Schizosaccharomyces pombe: one gene and its partners. The gene in region 1 interacts genetically with each later gene. Each region holds a gene or a part of one and is shown on either strand. Other genes may lie near its edges. The genes, in order: sir2, lsd2 and ppc1.

What was found.
Region 2: of sir2 (region 1) and lsd2, changing one suppresses a phenotype caused by changing the other (phenotypic suppression), as found in Schizosaccharomyces pombe (one study listed by BioGRID).
Region 3: of sir2 (region 1) and ppc1, a mutation in one rescues a mutant of the other (synthetic rescue), as found in Schizosaccharomyces pombe (one study listed by BioGRID).

Annotation. Positions count from the first base shown.
Region 1 is NC_003423.3:3,608,192-3,614,833, forward strand, and holds sir2 (histone deacetylase, Sirtuin family, NAD-dependent Sir2), read right to left. Parts: upstream 3,496-6,642; 5' UTR 3,366-3,495; coding exon 3,182-3,365; exon of another isoform or gene 3,019-3,181; coding exon 2,956-3,018; exon of another isoform or gene 2,919-2,955; intron 2,915-2,918; coding exon 2,832-2,914; intron 2,702-2,831; coding exon 2,670-2,701; exon of another isoform or gene 2,585-2,669; coding exon 2,148-2,584; exon of another isoform or gene 2,084-2,147; coding exon 1,455-2,083; 3' UTR 1,026-1,454; downstream 1-1,025. Other genes in the region: plasma membrane ZIP zinc transmembrane transporter Zrt1, read left to right, coding at 1-925; heat shock protein Hsp104, read right to left, coding at 4,168-6,642. UniProt on the Schizosaccharomyces pombe protein: Involved in silencing within the mating-type region, at the telomeres, and according to PubMed:12867036 also within centromeric DNA regions.
Region 2 is NC_003424.3:443,813-451,953, reverse strand, and holds lsd2 (putative histone demethylase SWIRM2), read right to left. Parts: upstream 5,185-8,141; coding exon 2,713-5,184; intron 2,660-2,712; coding exon 1,424-2,659; 3' UTR 1,228-1,423; downstream 1-1,227. Other genes in the region: meiosis specific arrestin family membrane adaptor Ste7, read left to right, coding at 1-744; Fe-sensing transcription factor Fep1, read right to left, coding at 6,691-8,141. UniProt on the Schizosaccharomyces pombe protein: Catalytic component of the SWM histone demethylase complex that specifically demethylates H3K9me2, a specific tag for epigenetic transcriptional activation, thereby acting as a corepressor.
Region 3 is NC_003421.2:1,141,479-1,147,083, forward strand, and holds ppc1 (phosphopantothenate-cysteine ligase), read right to left. Parts: upstream 2,756-5,605; 5' UTR 2,564-2,755; coding exon 1,613-2,563; 3' UTR 1,138-1,612; downstream 1-1,137. Other genes in the region: cytochrome c oxidase biogenesis protein cmc2, read left to right, coding at 2,990-3,168, 3,231-3,321; ubiquinol cytochrome-c reductase assembly protein Cbp3, read right to left, coding at 3,578-4,429; TIP41 type 2a phosphatase regulator Tip41, read right to left, coding at 4,905-5,605.

The DNA of each region.
Region 1 (6,642 bases):
ATTCGCTCGTTATTTTGGTTCTGGTGTTATTTTGGCTACTGCTTTTATTCACTTGTTAGCCCCTGCTTGTAACAAGCTTTACGATCCTTGTCTTGACGACCTTTTCGGAGGTTACGATTGGGCTCCAGGTATTTGTCTTATTTCTTGTTGGTTTATTCTCTTGTTGGAGGTCCTTTTGAATCGCTATGTGGAATGGCGGTTCGGTATGGAAATCGGCGATCATCATGGTCCAACTCTTGGTGCCAAACAACACAGTCATAGTCACGAAGACGGTGCTCACGGTGTTCATGAACATCCAGTTTATGATATTGAAGAATGTGCCGATGGTGTTGAGCATGAATGTGTAAAGGATGACTTGGAAGAAGTAAAACTAGAACCTTATACGAATACTGATAGTACCGATTTGACTACTAAAGAAGAAGCTCGTAGTTTCTTACTAAAGCAACAACTTACTGCCTTTATAATTCTTGAATCTAGTATCATTTTGCATAGTGTTATTATCGGTCTTACAACTGCCGTCTCAGGTGAAGAATTTAAAACTTTATTTCCCGTCATTATTTTCCATCAGGCCTTTGAAGGTTGTGGTTTAGGTTCTCGTTTGGCGGGAATGGCCTGGGGCCCAAAAACTGCATGGGTACCTTGGGTGTTGGGCGTTATCTATTCGTTGGTTACGCCTATTGGTATGGCAGCTGGTTTAGGTGTTCGTGAGCATTGGGATCCTCTTGCTCATGGGTCTTATGCTGCCCAAGGTGTTTTGGATGCTATCTCATCTGGAATTTTGGTTTATGCTGGTTTAGTGGAATTACTTGCACACGATTTCTTATTTAGTCCTGAAAGAGAACGTAACTGGTATAAGCTTATTTACCTTTTGGCATGCTCGATGGCTGGTACTGGAGTTATGGCTTTGTTAGGTAAATGGGCTTGATTTGGTGGCTTTTTCGATGATCCGTGCATTTTATATTCTTCATTAAATCTGTTTTCTTCTTTTGAGTTTGAGTGTCAATATCGTTGACCAATTTCTAATTGTCCGTTTTCAGTTGTTTCTCTTTAGTATCGTACAATTAGATGCTTCATTGGTTGTATTGATATGTACCAATCAATCTTTCAATTTTAAATAATAATTGTGTCATTTTCACTGATTTACTATGCTTAAAAAAGTAGCTAATTTTGCATAGCCTATGAATGTAATTTGCTTCAATGTTCATTTACTAATTACACAGTCCTTGGTATTGTAAAATGTATTATAACTTGTTTTAATGTGTTTTCACCCAGTTTAGCAGATTTAAACATTAGGTGCGAAGAGAAAAAACAGTTTTTAACAATGGCACTTACAAAACTAAGAAGTCTCAAACGGATAATAAGTTAATGTCCAATAATCTGGCTCTCATACTCGATATATGTATATAATATATTTGCTTCTACATTCAACTTCGATAGATCGATCAGTCCTAAAATTAACAACTACCGTTTGTTGTGCTCGTGATATGATAGGTGCTGGGCTCCTCAAATTTTATATCCAAATCCGTTTCGAAAGCTCGCGTTTTGGAACCACTATGACACTCAGGTAAATCGCAAAGCGCTTGTAATTCATTCAGCCATCCAGCACGTTTACAAATCTCCACAATAACCCAATCACAATAAGGACTTAGAAAATTTACATCGAATTGGGTATGACGAACAGGAGTCCTCGAAATGTAAATCTGAGGAGTAGTAGGAGGAATAACACTGATGAGTTCTGAAACAGGAGCCACTTTTAAAGAAGTTCCAATACAAATTAATAAATCAGTCTCTTCAAGCTCACCACTCCCGACTTTGTTAAAGAAAGAATCCGGTAAGGCTTCCCCAAAAAATGTGATATCAGGTTTCATAATCCCAGGTTGAGCTAGATCATCTTCAGAAGATTCACTATCACCATCTGAAAAATAATGTTTCTCTTTTTTATTTTGACCGACTCTTCTTAATTTTAAGGGTGGTTTTCCGCATTCATTGCAGTAAGAAACTCTTTGATTTCTTATGTCTTCATATAACTCCGATCCATCCACCTTGTGCTTGCATTTGATACAAGTTGCGGTAGCAAAAGACCCTATATAATCAAATTAGACAAAATCACCAGTGCTCGAGATGCAAATCGGAAAATAAATACTTACCATGACATTGAATAATTTTGTTATCGGAGAGTCCAGTCTTTTTTTCCAAATTGTCTATATTTTGGGTAAACAATGTTGATAATTTATTCTTCTTTTCAAGCAATCTAATGAAGGCATGCGAGGGGGAATAATGATTCGTCTCCGGCAAAAGATCTCTAGCAAAAGTATAAAAAATTTCTGGATTTTCTCTAAACGTATGGATATCAAACATTTCAGAAGGTTCCGATAATCCATGGCGTGCCAAACGGGCATAAAAACCATTGTCTGAACGGAAATCTAAAATTCCCAAACTTGTACTTATGCCTGCCCCAACAAGGACGACAACATTTTTAGCTTTTTTCAATAAATTAACAACATCTTCAAAGGTATTAAAATGTGGAAGTTTGATTCTCCTAGCAACCTCACGTTTTAAAACTTCCTTCAGCAAAGGAAGTAAACTAATTAGCACGTTAGTATATCGATAGCAGATATTTTAAAAAATAAAAGATAAAAAGATAAGAAGGAAGTTAAAGAAAAGCATACTCTATGTCTTCAAACTCTTCAAGTGCACTAGGCTATTTACGTTAATAAATCTAGGTAAAGTCATAAGAAAACAAAACATGCAGTAGACCAAATTATTATTGCAATTTAACAAAAATAATCTGCTAATTTAATGTAATGCAAGTTATAAATCAGTAAGCATACCAAATTGATTCCAAGTTTTTTTAAAATCGATCGTACAGGCAACTCTTCTTCTATTAAATATTTCTCCAAGAATTTCGCATAGCCTACAAATACTAGTTAAAATGTAAATTAAGTAACTCCTTACCTGAAGCCCTTAAATATCTGACCATTTCGGATCGTTCATCCAAATCACTTATGTTTTCTGTTTCTAAGGAATCGTTAACTTTTTAAATAATTAAAATAAACTAAAGTATATGAAAAGCACATAGCTAACCTGAACTCAAAATCGTTGATCAATTGTAAATTTTGTAAATTCAAATAGACTTGCGCGTACCCTTGAAGGTATTGGAGTTAATAGTTGATATTCATACCTGGTTTATCCCATTCATCAGAATCAACCTCTTCATCCTCAGTTTCTTTACTGCCGCACATAATATCTACTAGTAAACTAGCACCGGAACTACTACCAGAAGAGCTAGGAGAATAACTAGCGACTGGAATTTTTTCCTCAACGGGAGTCGTCGGCATATTATTATCTAGCGGATTGGAAGCCATGACAGAGTTTGTATAACATGAAAATATGACTAATCAATTATTTTTAAGGAAGTATAAATTAAAGCTTCGTTTGAGAAAGGCAATGATCTACTGAACTGAAGATCTCTGGTTCAACTTTTCGATAAGTCTTATTACAATTACGAAAAGCTAGTCTCTTGTTTAGTGCAGTAAAGTTTCGTTAGCTTAATGGTATGCGGGCAACTGTGATCTCGTTATTTCCTGGTAATAATGGCTATTAGAAGCAAAGCACTGTATAAGTTTAACTATACAACTTGTTAATTTAAACGTTGCTTTGAACCATGAGAACTGGAATGCGTATTAGTATGCAATGCGCAAGTGTAGAAAGTAATGAAATGATATGATAGTGATTTACCAAATGTTAAAGTTAATCATGTAAATTCAATTTAAAATCTACTAAAAGTATGAGAGCTAATTCTGCTTTGATTTTATAAGGAATTACGAGCACTTTCTTACAAGCTCGACTTTCTTGAATGGACTGCATTAATTAATACCTACTAAAATAAATGGAGGTTTTTCGTAAATAACAATGGATTATTTGATAAATTTAAGATTCAATGTTTCATCATACTTGAATTGCTAATAACTAAAAACGATGTACTTAGCTTTTGTTAAATTGATTCTATCTATTCGATAAAGTTCATTGAACATTTTAATGAGAAAACAGTACTTCCTAAAAAGTTTATATACTATATTTTTATAAATAAATAAAATATATTAAGATTAAGCATATCATTAAACTATATCATAAAGTATCGTTAGAACTTTCTCATTTGAAATACATTTATTCCAATTCTTCATCATTAACATCGTCGTCAATACCATCCATGTCAATATCAGCAGAGCCGTTTGCATTAGCTTCATGATTTGGTTTGACAAATATCTTGCCATTTTGGACTACGACATGAGCAGTCTCCTTATCGCGAAGCTGGCCATTCAAAATTAAGACAGCCATGGGATTCAAAACTTGATTTTGAATGACACGGTTCAAAGGTCTTGCACCATAAGCAGGGGAATAACCAGCGCTTCCAAGAAGGTCTTTAGCTTCGTCGCTAACCTCGATTTTAATTGAGCGATGATTGGATTGAAGCCGTTTCTGAACCTCTAATATACGATTTTCGACAATATTGCGGATATCCACACGACGCAGACGATTAAAGATAACGATTGAAGAGATACGATTCAAAAATTCGGGACGGAAGAAGCCACGAATCGAGTTCATAACCATTTCCCGAGTGGTACTATCTATCTTTCCATCATCAGACTCATTGTCTGTTGTCAAGTATTCAGCGCCCAAGTTAGAAGTCATAATGATAACAGCATTCTTGGCATCAACAACCTGGCCTTGGCCACTAGTGATACGTCCATCATCTAGTACCTGCAAAAGTACAGTCAATACTTCTGGAGCAGCCTTTTCAATCTCGTCAAACAAGATGACGGAGTAAGGTCGTCGACGAAGTTGTTCAGTAAGCTGTCCACCAGCTTCATGTCCAACATAACCGGGTGGTGCTCCAATGAGACGTGAAACAGAGTGTTTTTCCATGTATTCAGACATGTCAATACGAATCATTGCATTTTCATCATCAAACATAAATGATGCCAATGCCTTTGTCAATAAAGTCTTACCAGTACCGGAAGGACCGCAAAACAAGAAAGATGCGATTGGTTGATTAGGATCAGAAAGACCAGCACGAGATAAGCGAATGGCGTTTGCAACTGCAGTAACTGCTTCATTTTGACCAATTACTTGTTTACTGAGAACCTTCTCCATGTTAAGGAGTCGTTCCTTTTCAGTTGTCTTCAAACGAGTAACCGGAATACCAGTCCACCTTGCAACGATTTCGTTGATTTGATCGGGCCCAACTACGTCAATAAGTAAAGGTTCTGAGCCTGGTTGAGCGTTTGCAATCGCTTCTGCATCAGCCTTTCTTTTTTGTTGCTCTAAATATTCAATACGTTTTTGCAAATCAGGAATACCATAGTATTTCAAATCAGCAGCAAGAGTGAAATCATTACGACGCTCGGCATCCTCAGCCTTAGCCTTCAACTCATCAAGACGACGCTTAGCATCTTGAAGTTCACTTCCACGAGACTTTTCTAATTCATACTTCTCACGAATAGGTCTTGTTTCTTCTTCCACTTGTTCAGCCTCTTTACGAGCAGCCTTGAGACGTTCTTTGGAAGCTTCGTCCTTCTCACGCTCTAAAGCACGAATTTCAACGCGGAGTTGTCGAAGCTTTCTCTCAAGGTTATCAAGAACTTCGGGCTGAGATTCACGAGTAACACGAACTGCAGCCGCAGCTTCATCGACCAAGTCGATGGCAGAATCTGGAAGACGACGAGAAGTTAGGTACCGGGAAGCGAGATGGGCAGCAGTAACCAAGGCACGGTCAGAGATAGTAACACCATGATGAACCTCATACTTTTCTTTAAGACCACGAAGGATAGAAATCGTATCTTCAATAGAAGGCTCTTTTACCAAGATGATTTGGAATCTACGTTCGAAAGCAGCATCTTTTTCGATGTATTTCTTGTATTCAGCCAAAGTAGTAGCACCAATACAGTGAAGCTTACCACGTGCAAGCATTGGCTTCAGCAAATTGGCAGCGTCCATGCCACCTTCACCACCGGAACCTGCGCCCATTAAAAGATGCATTTCATCTACGAATAAAATAATGGGAGTTTCACTTTCTTCAACTTCTTTTAAAACAGATTTGATACGCTCTTCAAATTCACCACGAAATTTGGAGCCGGCAACTAAGCTTCCGACGTCCAGGCTGAGAAGCTTACAATTCGAAAGATTAGCGGGGACATCATCGTCAATTATACGACGAGCAAGTCCTTCAGCAATGGAGGTCTTACCTACACCAGGCTCACCAATAAGAACTGGATTATTTTTCGTTCTTCTAGAAAGTACGCGAATTGTACGACGAATTTCATCTTCACGTCCGATAACTGGATCCAGTTGACCATTTCTAGCGAGCTCTGTAAGATCAACAGTAAATTTATTTAGTGCATCAAATCCTTCCTCGGCATTCTTTGAATCGATTCTTTTATTACCACGGACGTTATTTACAGCAAATTCAAACGCTTTCGGGGTGACACCGGCTTCTGCCAATAAACTCTTTAGCGTGTCGTCTTTAGTGAACACAGCGATAAAATGATCTTGAGCAATGTAAGAATCTTTTTGTGTTTTTTGAAGTTCATGAGCATTTCGCAGCAGTTTCGCACTTTCAGGTGACAGAGTCACTTGTTCTGG
Region 2 (8,141 bases), on another chromosome or scaffold:
CTATCCAACGGTTTTGACTCGCAATCCAATGCTTATAATAATTCGGGTACCGGTCCTCCGATGCTTTATAAATTCCCTCAGCGTTCTTACACTGCCCCGAATACCTCTTTCAATTCTCAACGTCGAATGTCAAGCATTACCTCACTTCCGACTGCCTCGTTTTGTCCTGTTAAACACGGCGTTTCACCTCCATCTTTGGCAGGAAATCAACCTAGTCCTTTATCTTCTCCACTCACCAATTCTAATGTTTCTCCTTCTACCATTTGTTCACCAGACAACAACGTCACCTTTGTCAATTTAGCACCTGGTGAGAAGTTGACCTTTAAGATTGAACCAAACGACCTTATGGATGAAGAAGAGGTGGTTGAGAATTCCAATATGTACAGTATTCCTGGTAAGACTGTTGCTACAACAGTTTGTCATTCGTCATCTTCTTCCGGTGACTTTTCAGCTCTTTCATGTCATAGAAATCTATCATTTTCTGAAAGCTTGCCTACTGCTGAAGATCAAGTTCATAATAATCACTGTGCCGTATCGCCTTCCAGAAGAAGTTCATCCAATGCTCTGTATCTAGCTACTTTGCCAATGGGTTATGAACGATCTAATTCCGTATCATACTGTTCAGATTCAAGTCTTAGCTCCCCTTTGCCTGACGACAATATGCTACAAGATCCACACGCTTTGAACATGGCGTATGCTAAAGAATTCGATGTTCTTATCAATGAAGTCTTACAGTCTCTTTAATTATTTATAACAGACTTCCTGAATTACGAGTCTTTATAACAACCACTTTTTTTTTGACAATTGAGATGCCATCTCCTATTAACTTTTGGATAATGCTTTTAATTATACATGTCCAAATATGGACTGGAGTCAATAACTCGGCATTTTTATATTATTTTATTTTAATATCATATGCATCTTATGTTTTTTTTTTAACTATTTCGTTGTAGTACTTGCTTTGAGATACATAGTGTCCATGGTGTCTGCAACAAATACAACCGCATCTGTTTTGGCTTAATTTAATGATTCTTAGTTAATTTTAATTACTTTTTTTCTAATAACTTATTTTTTTATTTATTTCACAAGCGTACTAGTAATATCATTTGTTGCTTGAATATTATGTTAATGGCAAAATGGTAACATGCATTACATCCTAAAGAGTGAGAGTAGTAGCTGTGTTTACGATATCATCTTTTATCTCTTACATCTTCGGCATTAAATCAGGTTGGCTACTGGCTAACGAGAAGTGTACATGTATTTTAGATTTTCCTTAAACAATTTGCTGAAATTAGCAATTTGATAAAATGCTTCATTTAGGGCATGACGAGAATATATATGTACATAAAATTTTAAGGGTATTTGTAATGATGCGAAGTAACTAAACTTTTAAAAAACAATATGTGATTTGATTTTTTTTCTTTTAATATCGTGTTCCATTATAACCCGAATCAGAAGATCCATCGTCATGATACTCTTCGTCGCTAGCCTCTCGACTTTTGGAAATGTTGTCATCCTGAGTTTGTTTTCTTTGCTCTTCTTCTCGTTGAGCTTGCATAAACAATCTTGCTTCATCATCGGGAATAGGTTCATCTTGGCATTTGGCCGCATAATCATTTCGTATTTGCTCGGCTCTCATTTCATATTCTTTAGTTAGGCGCTGATAACGAAGAATTTTTCCAGCATAAGCTTCTCTTTGTGCTGCAATTTCATCAATCCAAGGTTTTTTACCTAAATCATCAAGCTGGCGCCAAGTTTTCCCTAGTTTGGCACGTGTTTCATTAATAGTAGCCTTCGCTGTACTATCTCCTGTTAACCTTCGCTTGTCTTCATCAGCAAGTGCACGGCATACATGCCACTGCATTTTTTGGTAAAGTAAAAAGGGATTTGCATTCGGCTTGGAAGGAGGTTCAGGTAAATAACCAAGAAGTTCAGTTACAAGCTGTTCCTGTTCTTCCTTATGCTCGTCAAGTCTTTCCTGCTTTTTCAACCTATATCTTGCCTGATAAGAAAGGTGACGCTGTGCTTCAGCATTGGGATCAAAATTATTAACTTTAGAGTTTCGCAAAAACTGATCCAATTCTTTGCGAGAGGTTTCTCCAATGATAGGTATGGTTAAGGAAATTGGAGCCAATGAATCAATAATCCCTGTACATACGGAAAGGCCAGATAAAAAGGATCTTTGTAATGTCCTACAGCCTACGCAACTGAATATATAGTCTCCAGCAATATGCAAGCGACCCAAATTATACGATAACTGACTTTGCCTAAATCTTTTTTCATATTGCTGCTTATCATTGGCAAAATTTGGATAAGAATTTAAGCCGTCATAGACACCATTTCTCGACCAGTTTGTGACCCAAGCATCTAATAAATCAGCTGAGCTGTTTGAATCATTTTGAAAATGATCTACTATTAGACTGTGTAATTCTTGAATTAAGTGGGAGGTCTCGTTAGAAGAAGAACTTGTCATTTGTGGATTGATATCCGCTACTAATATTGGGACACCAGTTTCAGGAAGCATATTCCATATTCTCAAAACAAAACAAGATTTACCATCATTCTCATCATTGTTCATTTCTTGACTTAATGATTTTGGTATAATACCAAATGATCTAATGTTCTTTCGCCAAAAAGCAGCTGCATAACGAAGAATAACCTGCTCAATGTTAACTTTATAATTGAAAAAAAAATAAATAAATAAAAACCTACCTTTTTTCCGGGTTTGAAATCTATACTTTTTATGTTTTCAGTCACGAAATTAGGAAGACCTGGTGAAAACTCTATATTTGAAGAAAAATGAGAAGGAGAGCAAGCAATTACAACTTGGTCAACCTCATAAGAAGAGTTGTCCTTACAATCAAGGGTACATTTATCATTTTCAATAGTTACCTTAGATACAAACTTCTCATAATGAATATTTAAGGGAGATGGATAAGATTGTAATGCCCATGGCAGTTGAGATAGACCTCTTCTAGCAACTTTTGGAATCAAAATATCTTTGGAGAAGTCTGTATCAACTGTGTTAAGAGGGTACAAAGTATCGTCCAATTCCGCGACCTTAAAACACCATATCAGAAATTTCTTTTGACTGTTCCCGAGTTTGGCATAAGAAGAAACTTCATCAATTAGTATTAGCATTGTTTTTTTGAAGGAAAATTCATGTGACGCATTTAATGAGAGTGATTTGGACAAATGATCAGGGAACATTTCATCTATAAACAACTGAAATTGGGATATCCAAGAAATACGAACAGATTCCTCAACGTTAATAAAAAAGCAAACAGAAACATATTCCAAAAGTTTTTCCCATAAAATGTTTAATTTTTTCACCTCAACCATGTCTAATACTTTAGTATCGGTCTCATCGTAAACTAAATCTGAGCCAGTCATCTCTGTAACTTCAATACCCAATTGTTTATTTAAAAGGTTAAGCAAAATATCGTCCATAGGCGAAAATAAAAATTGAAATCCCAAATCAATTGCTGAAGGAATATGGGACGGGTCAGTAACATCCTTGGGGTTTAAAGAAGTGGAATTACTAGAAATAGAATTCGAATTAGATGTATGATGGTTAATTTGGGTAGCCGAAGTATGAGAAACAGGCAATGCTCGAGAGTAAATACGACCTCCTGTCCTTTCTTTAGCTTCAAGTATAATAACTTTAGGAGGAAGCTCATTCTTTGACAAAAAAGATGAAGAATACTGAGAAAATAAGCCAGTAAGTTGTCTAGCACATATCAAACCAGTAAGACCAGCGCCTACTACAGCAATAGTCTTCTGCTTCGATGCAGAACTGGATGTTGTGCCAGTATTAGTTTCATTCGTAAAGGATGAATCAAAGGACAAGCATCCATAGTTTATATATCCATACCTTACAAGGAATTCATAAGCTAAAGAGGCTAATTGGAACAAACATCGATCGACACATACGCCCTGAGCTTCAACTCTGGATATGGCATGCGTAGGATTTTTAATCCAAAGCCAACAAATGCTGTTACGAATTTGGAAATAATGAAATAATACAACGGGATCGTGTAAACGATCAGAAAGCATGTGTTGTTCAAAACTTTCTAAGGCCCTCGGATCGAGATTGCATTTACGAGCTGCTTCAGCGGCATGCTCAAAAAACGACTTTAAAGAAGATGTAGGGATACTGGCTCCTGCAGATGGTATAGTATGAGATGATGATTGACTAGACCATTGTAGCAGTACTCTAGACGGCTCAATTGCAACAGAACCTTCAGGCCTAGCACCTAACTCTGAATCAAAAAGTGCAGGACTACTAATATTACCAGATGTAGCAGCTGAAGACATTAAAGGGAAAGATGAAGCAGGAGGCGATACAACTGCCGGTGCAGTAGTAGGTGGTATTGGCAAAACTGCGTTATCAACACTTTTAGATAATTCTGTTGCTGATACCAACTGTGTAGGCATAAAACTTTCATGATTGCGGAATGTAGATGGGGTAACTCCATGAGAAACTTGATCCCGATACATCGACAAAAGTTGCTGAGAAGATAAATGAGAAGCGTCTAATGGATACGGATAATTGGAAAAGGCATTTGAGTTTTGGTGTTGAATGGGGCCTGCATGAATTGCCGTTGAACCATCTCCACTGGAAGAAAGCGGGTTTTGTGATCGTGAAGGATATGTAGATGGAAATTGCTGAGAAGACGGAGAGTTTGCATCAAAAAAGTTTTCGTATGTGGATGACTTTTGTTGAGGAAAAGAGGAACCTACAGTTGGAGGTAATCCAATTGTTCTCATTCCAGACTGCTGAGCGACACCTGCATTTGAATTGCCTAAAAGATGCTGAGGAAATGGTTGATTAGCCGCTTGCGAAATTGTGTAAGGGTGAAAAGAGGAATCATATCTAGAAGGTAAAAATGCTGGATTATAGTTTCCCCATTGATTGTTCAGTGAGCTAACTGGCTGTGAATTTAAGCCGCCATCTGTACGATAAGTTGACCTTGAATACGCGTTCTGATTAACAGAATTAGGTGTGATAGACTGTAATCCACCTCCTAAAATAGCTAAAAGCGCTTGTTCACTACTCACCAATTGAGGTTGAGTTGAATTAACGTTGTTGGCGTTAGCATATGATGAAGCCCGGTCAGAATGATGCTCTGTCATTTCTGGAAAGTCATAATGACCATCTGGATCATTCTCGCTCGTGTTCATAGAGTAAAAAGATACAATCAAAGTGAACCGAGGTGGTAAAATCTCATTGAATCTCGATTTGGTGTTTACAAAGTACTTTGCGCAACATATCCTTAACGATTCGTTAAAAAAATATCGTTCTAAATATTATAGCATAATGGGATAACGACAAATATTATAAGCATTTTTATGTCAAGTCCAATCAATCATCTATCAGACTATCCAGAATTTATATTTTTCTTTTAGATAATACATGTGTCTTTAATTATTTGAATACCATGAAGAACGCCCGAGAGGCATTCAATTGCCTATTTATCTGATTCATATTGCGAGTATTATTCTACGATCGCATTTGCTCTCTTCTACAGGCTTAACACTTTGGAAATGATGAACGAAAAATGTGAAGTTCATTAATTTGTATTCATTTTCCAAATTATTGCATTAATGTGTTAGCTCTTTCATGCTAAAGACTACTACCTAAACTCGTTGATTTCAACTTGCAGAAAACAATATTACAATACACTTGAAAGTATAGTCAGCGGAGAATAGAACAAATGGAGTAAATTATTATAACAATCCAAAAATATGTTACATTGCTGTTAAGATTCAGAAAAGCTTAGGATGTTTAGAGTAGTAGTGTAGATTAACTGTTTATCAATATTATACTAAAACATCTCATTATGGTTCAAGTTCGCTATTGTTGAATTTTACAAAAAGTCTAGTCCCGCCGGGGATCGAACCCGGGACCTTCTCCGTGTGAAGGAGAAATCATACCACTAGAACACGGGACTGTTGGTTGTTAACAGAAAAACTAAATGATATATATCATAATTACATTATTATTGATTTAAATAGATTAAATAATGAATAGCGAAGTTATTTGAGCTGAAAATTAAGTGTAAGTTTTTTATATATGTGCTGTAATGAACAATTAAAATTTCAGCCTAATCATATAGTTTTAAAAGTCAAGCAATGACTTTTTGCGAATGAACTAATTAACCATGGATACTGCTTTTTACAAGCAACTCCATTTTCCGTTTTAAATAGTTGTATACAAATGTTTTTTCCCCCGAAAAATTGTAAAAATATATTAATGAATTGACAATTTCCAAATGAGTTTGCACTCGGGCAGTTTAAATATATTTAATATATTAACTATCTACATACCATATAAATCCGGTAGTATTATTTTTTCTCAATATCTGCTTTTTCGATGCGTATTAATATCATAAAAAATGCTCCACATAGGATTTCATTAAAAACATATATGTTAACTCTAAATTTAACGGTAAATCGCTAAGGACTGAATATTATTTTCCAGCTCTTAACGAATATAACACCGCAGACGGACTTGGCCAATACCAAAACTAACGCAAAACAAAAGACCAATAAGAATCATGTGAAGTATTTTACCCTAAACTCATAGTATACAATGTCATGCTTGTAAGTAATAGACAGCTAAACGGGATAATATCTAATTTGTTTACCATAAATAAATATGCCGCACGACAAACATGCCAATCAAGTTTATGTTTGAAGAGCTCCAGATGCAACAACAGCAGGGGTTGAGGATTTAATATGTTCAGAAGCCATATTTTCATTGTCAGAGGACCTCAGCCATTCATCTATTTGTTGAATGTGCTGATTTAAATTGTGCAACTCCTGAATCATTAAATCATGCTGAGAACGCAATTGCGAAAGAACATTCAAAGCATAATTGCGTTTATCTACATTTGATCCCTGAACTTCAGGAGGAAACTGCAAAGAAACCGGCGAGGTAGAGGATTGGATTAAAGGAGCTTGCTGAGATTGCGAAGGTGAAACTTCTGATTTCGGTCCATTTGACATTGATGGCTGCTTGTCGGAATTTGAGGGTGGCTCTTCGGGGTTAAGTAAGGAAGCAATTCCTTCAGCAATCCTTGGCTTTGCAGAAGTTCGAGGAGGCAAACAGACTGACTCGCCAACAGGAAGGATAGGAGGTAAATGAAACTTCATGCCTAAGGGGTTGGATTGGTTGGCAGTTGCAACGCCATTATTATCCGTGTTCGATGTTGTAGATTCCGATAATTGCTTACTAGAATCATTGCCAACTGCTACAAGCTGACCAGGGTATACTACTTGATTAGCTCGTATACCATTGGGAACATACTCATTTTGGTAAGGAGGCAATCCTTCATGCTTGTTCTCAGGAAGAGGCAATATTGATTGTTCCTGAGTAGGACCATATGAGTAATAAACTTTCCCATTATTATCAGGTTCACCAGCCGCTAACCGTGACAATGTCATCAATGGTGAAGGATTGAACGAAGAAGGCAAGAACCCGGTAAAATTGCTGTTGTATGAAGGAAATGTACTAGCCGGAGGTAATACTCCAGTATTCATTCCATGCTCAGCCAGACCTTCACCAGAATTTCCAGAAGCATGGCCATTACCATTGGGAAAAGATTTAGAAAAAGGACCATCCCTTGTAGACTGTTGCTTAACGGAAGATCCGGAATCCCCACTTGACATTCTTTTTAAGTTGTGTTGCGACTCATTCGCATTACCGTTAAAAACCAGCCTTTTTCGACGTTTAATGATTGCCTTCTTCATGGTAACGGGACGATGTACCCCATGAATTTTGTAATACAAACCACAAGCATTACAGATCGGATTACCCGACTCGTCGCGGCGCCACAAAGGAGTATTTGTGGTAGCACAGTTTTGGCAAAAAGTAACACTTGGTTCATGAGGAGGAGATGAGTCTTCATGCTGGTTATGACTAGAACGTCGTCTACTAGTGCCATTGCTAGTTTCAGTCGTGGTATCTGAAACGATTTGAGGTTTCGATTCTAGAGGTGTAGGCGAAGCTTTGGTTTCAGTGCTAGAGGGTACACTGCTAGGATTGGGAGATAGACTTTTGCGTCCGCTCTGAGACTTAGAAGCATTGAGACTTCTTATACGATTATTTAAAGCAGGACAACCAGTACATGAAGCAC
Region 3 (5,605 bases), on another chromosome or scaffold:
AAGCATTTTGGGAATTAAAAAAGTGATTGTGATCACACTGTGAATTCCTGTTCTTTACAGAAAAAGATTGAAAAAAGTCATTGATGAATCATGATGCAAAACTTATAAACTAATTTATGGAAAAACTAATCGCTTCTATTTCTTACCTTGAACATTCACGATCTTTAAAATTTGTTGAATAATAAAGTGGTAAAGATAATCAGGTGGTTTAAGAGGAAGTTATAAGTATTTTTTTTTAACAGCTTGTGAATGATGTAATTGTTATCGACTTCCCAAGATTCTGCTACAAACGTTAGGCTTTTTTGGGATTTAATAAGAAACTTAGATGCTCGGTCACCTACTTGAGCAATTGCACGTTCAAAATCGTCAAGGTGAATACAGTTTTCCTAAATTTCGTTCTTAATGCAGCATCCTTAATAAACAAAATACGCTTGATCCAGAAAACCATTCTATCCAACGTAATTTAGAGCGATATCCCTTGATGCGGAATAATTTCCTTTTTAGCTTAAGAACCACGATTAATGAATGGTGCAATTCATCCAGAATGGAATCTTATGATTAACCGTCTTAACATGTCTCAATAGGAAGCAGAGGAACTGGATTATAAGTCATAGGTCAGTTTTATCGTAAAAACGTTTGCAGCTTTGTTCTATAGTTTTTTCCAGTTTTGTATAAAGAATTCTTTACATAAACTTGTGTTGTTTTACAAAAAGTGTCACAAACCGGGATCGAACCGATGACCAACAGATCTTCAGTCTGTCATGCTCCCAACTACACCATTGCGACTTCATATACATTAAAAACTACTAAAATATTTATAAAGAAAATTATTTACCAATGTCTGTAAAAGCCATAATAGCCTTTTTAAATATTTGTTTTATCCTCGACATTTTCGAGCTGCCAACCTTTGCATTCTGATTCTCTAACAGTTTTAAAAGTAATTGAAATCTCATAGGTTTTTCATTGAACTATATAACAATCGCCGTTGTTTGTGTACGTGAGCTTGCAATTAAACATGAGCATTTTAGTCATGGGGTTTGAAGCGACTCATAAGAAGTATGGGATCTCAAAAAGAACTGAAGGCTTTAGAAACAATCATATACGCTTACTACTTACAGGTACTCACTATTTATTTTTTGTTCATTCAAGATAACTGTTGCGCATTTTAAATTCAAGTCTTTGCTTTCTATATACTCCTGACATTGATTTTTATAAACTAATCATCATTTTTAATATATTCTTTAACACACTTCAGACCTGAGTAATCTACAACAGTAATAAGTATCTAAAAAAAAAGCTGCAATTTTTAAAAAATTACAACAGATCCAATAGTACACGATTCAATTCATAGCTCGTATTAGCAATTTATAAAGCCTTTCATTTTTTTCGTAAACCCCTCTACAAATGCTATAAAGCAACTTCGTAAAATAACAAGACGAAAATGATAGAGAAATAAAAAAGTACCACTGGTGTTTGCATAATAAACCCTAACAATATAAATGAGTAAAATGTTTAAAAGAAAAACCGATAGTTCATATAAGTTAAAGCAGATAAGAAACATAACTAGTACTTTTTATAAGTTCATAATCGACTAATCGTCAATAAACATAATTTAAGGTGCCTTTGCGAACTCTTGAATTCGTTCCTTGTGCAACGAAATTGCCCTCGAAACAATGTATTGCTCGATTTCTACCTTTTTTACAATGTCATCGTCGCTCAAATGAAGCCATTCAACCGTTTTTGAGGTTACAAACGCGACAGATCGTTTCCTTGTTGAAAGAAGGTTGGCGATCACCAGCTGGTGGTTATAACGTTGTAAAGCTACTCTTGCTTTATCAATCAGAATACTAGGGTCGGTTTCTAATTTAAAGGAAATAATAGAAGCTTCAGGAGCCCATGTGTCAACCAAGAAACGCAGAAATTTTGGAACCGGATGCATTTTGACTTCTAATTTGTTACTTCCAGAACCACTTTGAATTTTGTGCTCGCTCAATTCCTTCGGTGGAATATGGAAATCACTAACAGCAGCTGCTAAATAAAACAATGCTCTTGAAGCGATTATCTGTAAACGTTCAGCTATAGCTTTCAGGTACCACAAATATTCTGTGAGTGTAGTATAAGGAATCATTATCAGTCGATGATGTTTCGTATATGTATCTAATTCGTTGAGTGCATTGAATACTGTCGATTGAAACTCTTGTTTGACAATCCAAGGCTTCTCCTGACTGCCATTACTTCTTTCAAACAAATTTGTCCAGGGACCTTCATATCGTCGAGTAAATGGCATTAAACTATAATTTCTATACAGAAAAATGACCGAATATCCAGACTTGCAAAAGTATTCAGCAGATGCTGCACCACGATTTCCTGCACTAAAGTTATCGATAAAACGCACCGTATTTTGCTCAAGAGGCACAAGTGTGCCGCCACTAGTAACAAATGCAATGTTTTGGGAGTTTGATTGAAGGTTTATAAAATCTTCAATCAGACTTGAGACATCACCGAGTGAGTTAGGACAAGGATTCTCCTCAAAGAAATCGTTAGATTTATCCATTTCTGGCATATATTCTAAATAGCTAAGAGTATCGCAACCCAGAAATGCCTCTCTTACGATGAGCTCAAAAATAAACAAACGACGTTTAAAAAACTGTATGCGTTATTGCTGAATGATAGGACTAGAGAACTCACAAAATCTGAAATGCTAACCAAACAGTTCTCTAGCAGCTTGTAAATTCAGCAAGTAGTGGTCTGTTTATTGAACAATGTAGACGATAGCGACACCACAAACGACTGAAACGCGACACTTTGTGATTGTATTACACTTAAGGCCTTTTTTTTTTATTCAACTCGTGCTTGTCTTTTATGAAAAGCTAAAATTAAAATAAATTTTAAGTTTGTGTTTTAATCAACTTAAGACTAAAAATTTTCATTTATTTGCGCTCTGTTGGGTAACGTGGTTTAGTTACCAACATTTTACTGATTATCTAAAATGAATAAATCTCCAATTGAAGAGGAATTTGATCTTCGGAAACAGCACCAAAAGCTATTAAAAAAAAATTGCCAGAAAGAAATTGAAGATTTTGTGAAATGCGCTACTGGCAGGACTTTTAGCGTAACCTGGAAATGTAGAAGTGAAAATAAAACGATGAAGGATTGTTTAACCAAAGCGTAAGAAACTTATTCATCAATCATGTATAAAAAAGGATATGTAACTAATATGGAATATGCAGCGCAGACGAAATATCGGAGTGGCAGATCAGGTCGGAATACAATAAAGCTAAACAAGAAAGCTTTATCGGAAAGCAAGACGAAAAGAAGTAGCTAATTAATGCATCGATAATATCGGTATTAACTGCTATTAAAATACTAGTTCCAATACAACATAATGCTACGATTTCAATTAAATTGACAAACATTCTCTACTATAAAATATTTCAAAAGCTCCTCATTACTTTTCAATTTAACGTAATGGTAAAAGCTTTCAAAGTAATTATTTACAAAAAAGATTCATGGTTTTGCATAATAAACATGACCGTTCGTCAATTTATTAATCATTAGAGTAGCAATCATTTATTAATCAAATATTTGTTTGTGCACTTTCTTCAGGTGGGACGAAGTGTACTCCCTTCCCATTGATAAAGTCATCGGTTGATAAACATGACAGGCGATAAACATTGAGGCGAATAAATTTAACAATAGTCTCAAGAATTACTAAGTCGACGTCTGGGCGACCAACGAAAAGGTTACGCCAAACGGATGTAGCCAAAACAGCATCACTTCCCAGCATTCCTTGATCATAACCAAAAATGGCGCCGGTCTGTTGCTGAAACAGATCTTTCAGATACATACCAGAAATTCGATTGCTATTAATGCGGTAATCTTTATGAATTCTGAGTTCCATGTCTTCAAAGAAACGAGTAGTTAATGCCTGTGAAAAGGCAACTTTTTCATTTTTTGGCAAACCACGAATGCGAGTATGGAGGATCCACAAATGTAATTGCGTTATTTGAAACCAAGACTGAAATGTCATAGGAATTTCACACTTCTGGTACCAAAATTCAAAAGCACCTAGCGAGTTTTTTTCGGGGGTAGCTTGTCGAGCAGCCTCAAAATACATGTATCTTGCAGTACCAGTAGCCTCATAATATAAATTTTGTTTAGGAGAGATATATTTTTGATAAATAAGACTTATTTTCTTTAGAAAACTATTTGGCGGAGCCACTTTACGTGGATCTTGAGGAGGTGTAAGGGGTTTGTATCTGAGTTCTTCTACTGGGTCTCTTCTCTTCGTTTCCGAAGGTGAATGATTAATAACATTTATTGGAGAAAATGAAAATCTTCTTCTTAAGGGACCGTATATACTCTTCCCCCATACCGGCTGCTTAACAAATGCTGGTCTCAATGGCAAATTTAAACAGCAGCGACTCATTACTGAATGACGATAAGGATCTTTTGATAATCTTTTCTTAATTAATAAAATTAATTATTACCTGCAAATAAATACGTAGGAGTTGGGTTGAAATAAAAAACGGATCGATTAATGTCGTACAATATAAAGGGGAAGAGAGGTTGTGACAGGTTGATTGCCAAATACAATGTTATAACGAACGATCAATATTACGAGGCCATCATTCTTCCTAATTAAGTATACTCTAAAATTTACTGGACCATTTTAAATTTGTTTGCAGTTTCAGTAGTATATCTTCGCCGTTTAATCGTACCAAAGATTGTATCTATTTATTTTGCTTTCTCAATTAGAAAACCTAAATTAATAACCTCTTAGTTGAAAATGATTATAAATATTACCATGAACTAAACGTAATAAACTTGTAAATTGCTTCAACACTCATTCGTTGACAAAAGTTCTAAATTCTCATGTCTGCCATTAGCGAATCATTTTAGCATCAAAAATTCAATTTATAGATTTTATGGTCAACGGTATCAAGGCGCTCACTTAACCAATTGTTATCATCTAGCAATGCAGCTTTGTCTCCCCCCACAGGTATTTGTTTAATAATTTTGTCGTAAGTAGCTTGCTTTTTACGGCAGTCCTTCAAGAGAAAATCATTCAACAAATCAATATATATCCTCGTCTCATTCAATCGAACATTTACCTTGTCTAAACGTACGACAAGGCGTGCTAACAATATTAAATGACCCTGAACAACTCGAGCTCTCACATCAAACATTGATTTTCCATTATCTGCTAACTCATCTTCGAAAAGAATTATCTCATTGAACCATAAATTTTGTCCTGCGTTAAGTATTTTTTGAACAGGTATTACCTGATCAATTTCAATGAATTTTGCATTTGGACGTTGTATAGTTCCCTGATAATCAGTATAATAAGTCCAATCAAATGGGTAAATCACAGGGTATTCTTCTCCGGGCTTAATTCTGGATTTGGCCCAGTCTTTTGCAAAAGAAACTTGCATTACATCTTCAGGTTTGGTACCAACCATTTTAAGAGCATCTTCAGTAAAAAATCCAACTACAGGCTGATTCTTGTATTCAATTGAGATGTAATTATTCCCAAAGGTCATCTCAGGAGGTGGAAAACCCAATGTACTTTGAAGGTTCTCCATCTCATGGCTTTTTAAAATTG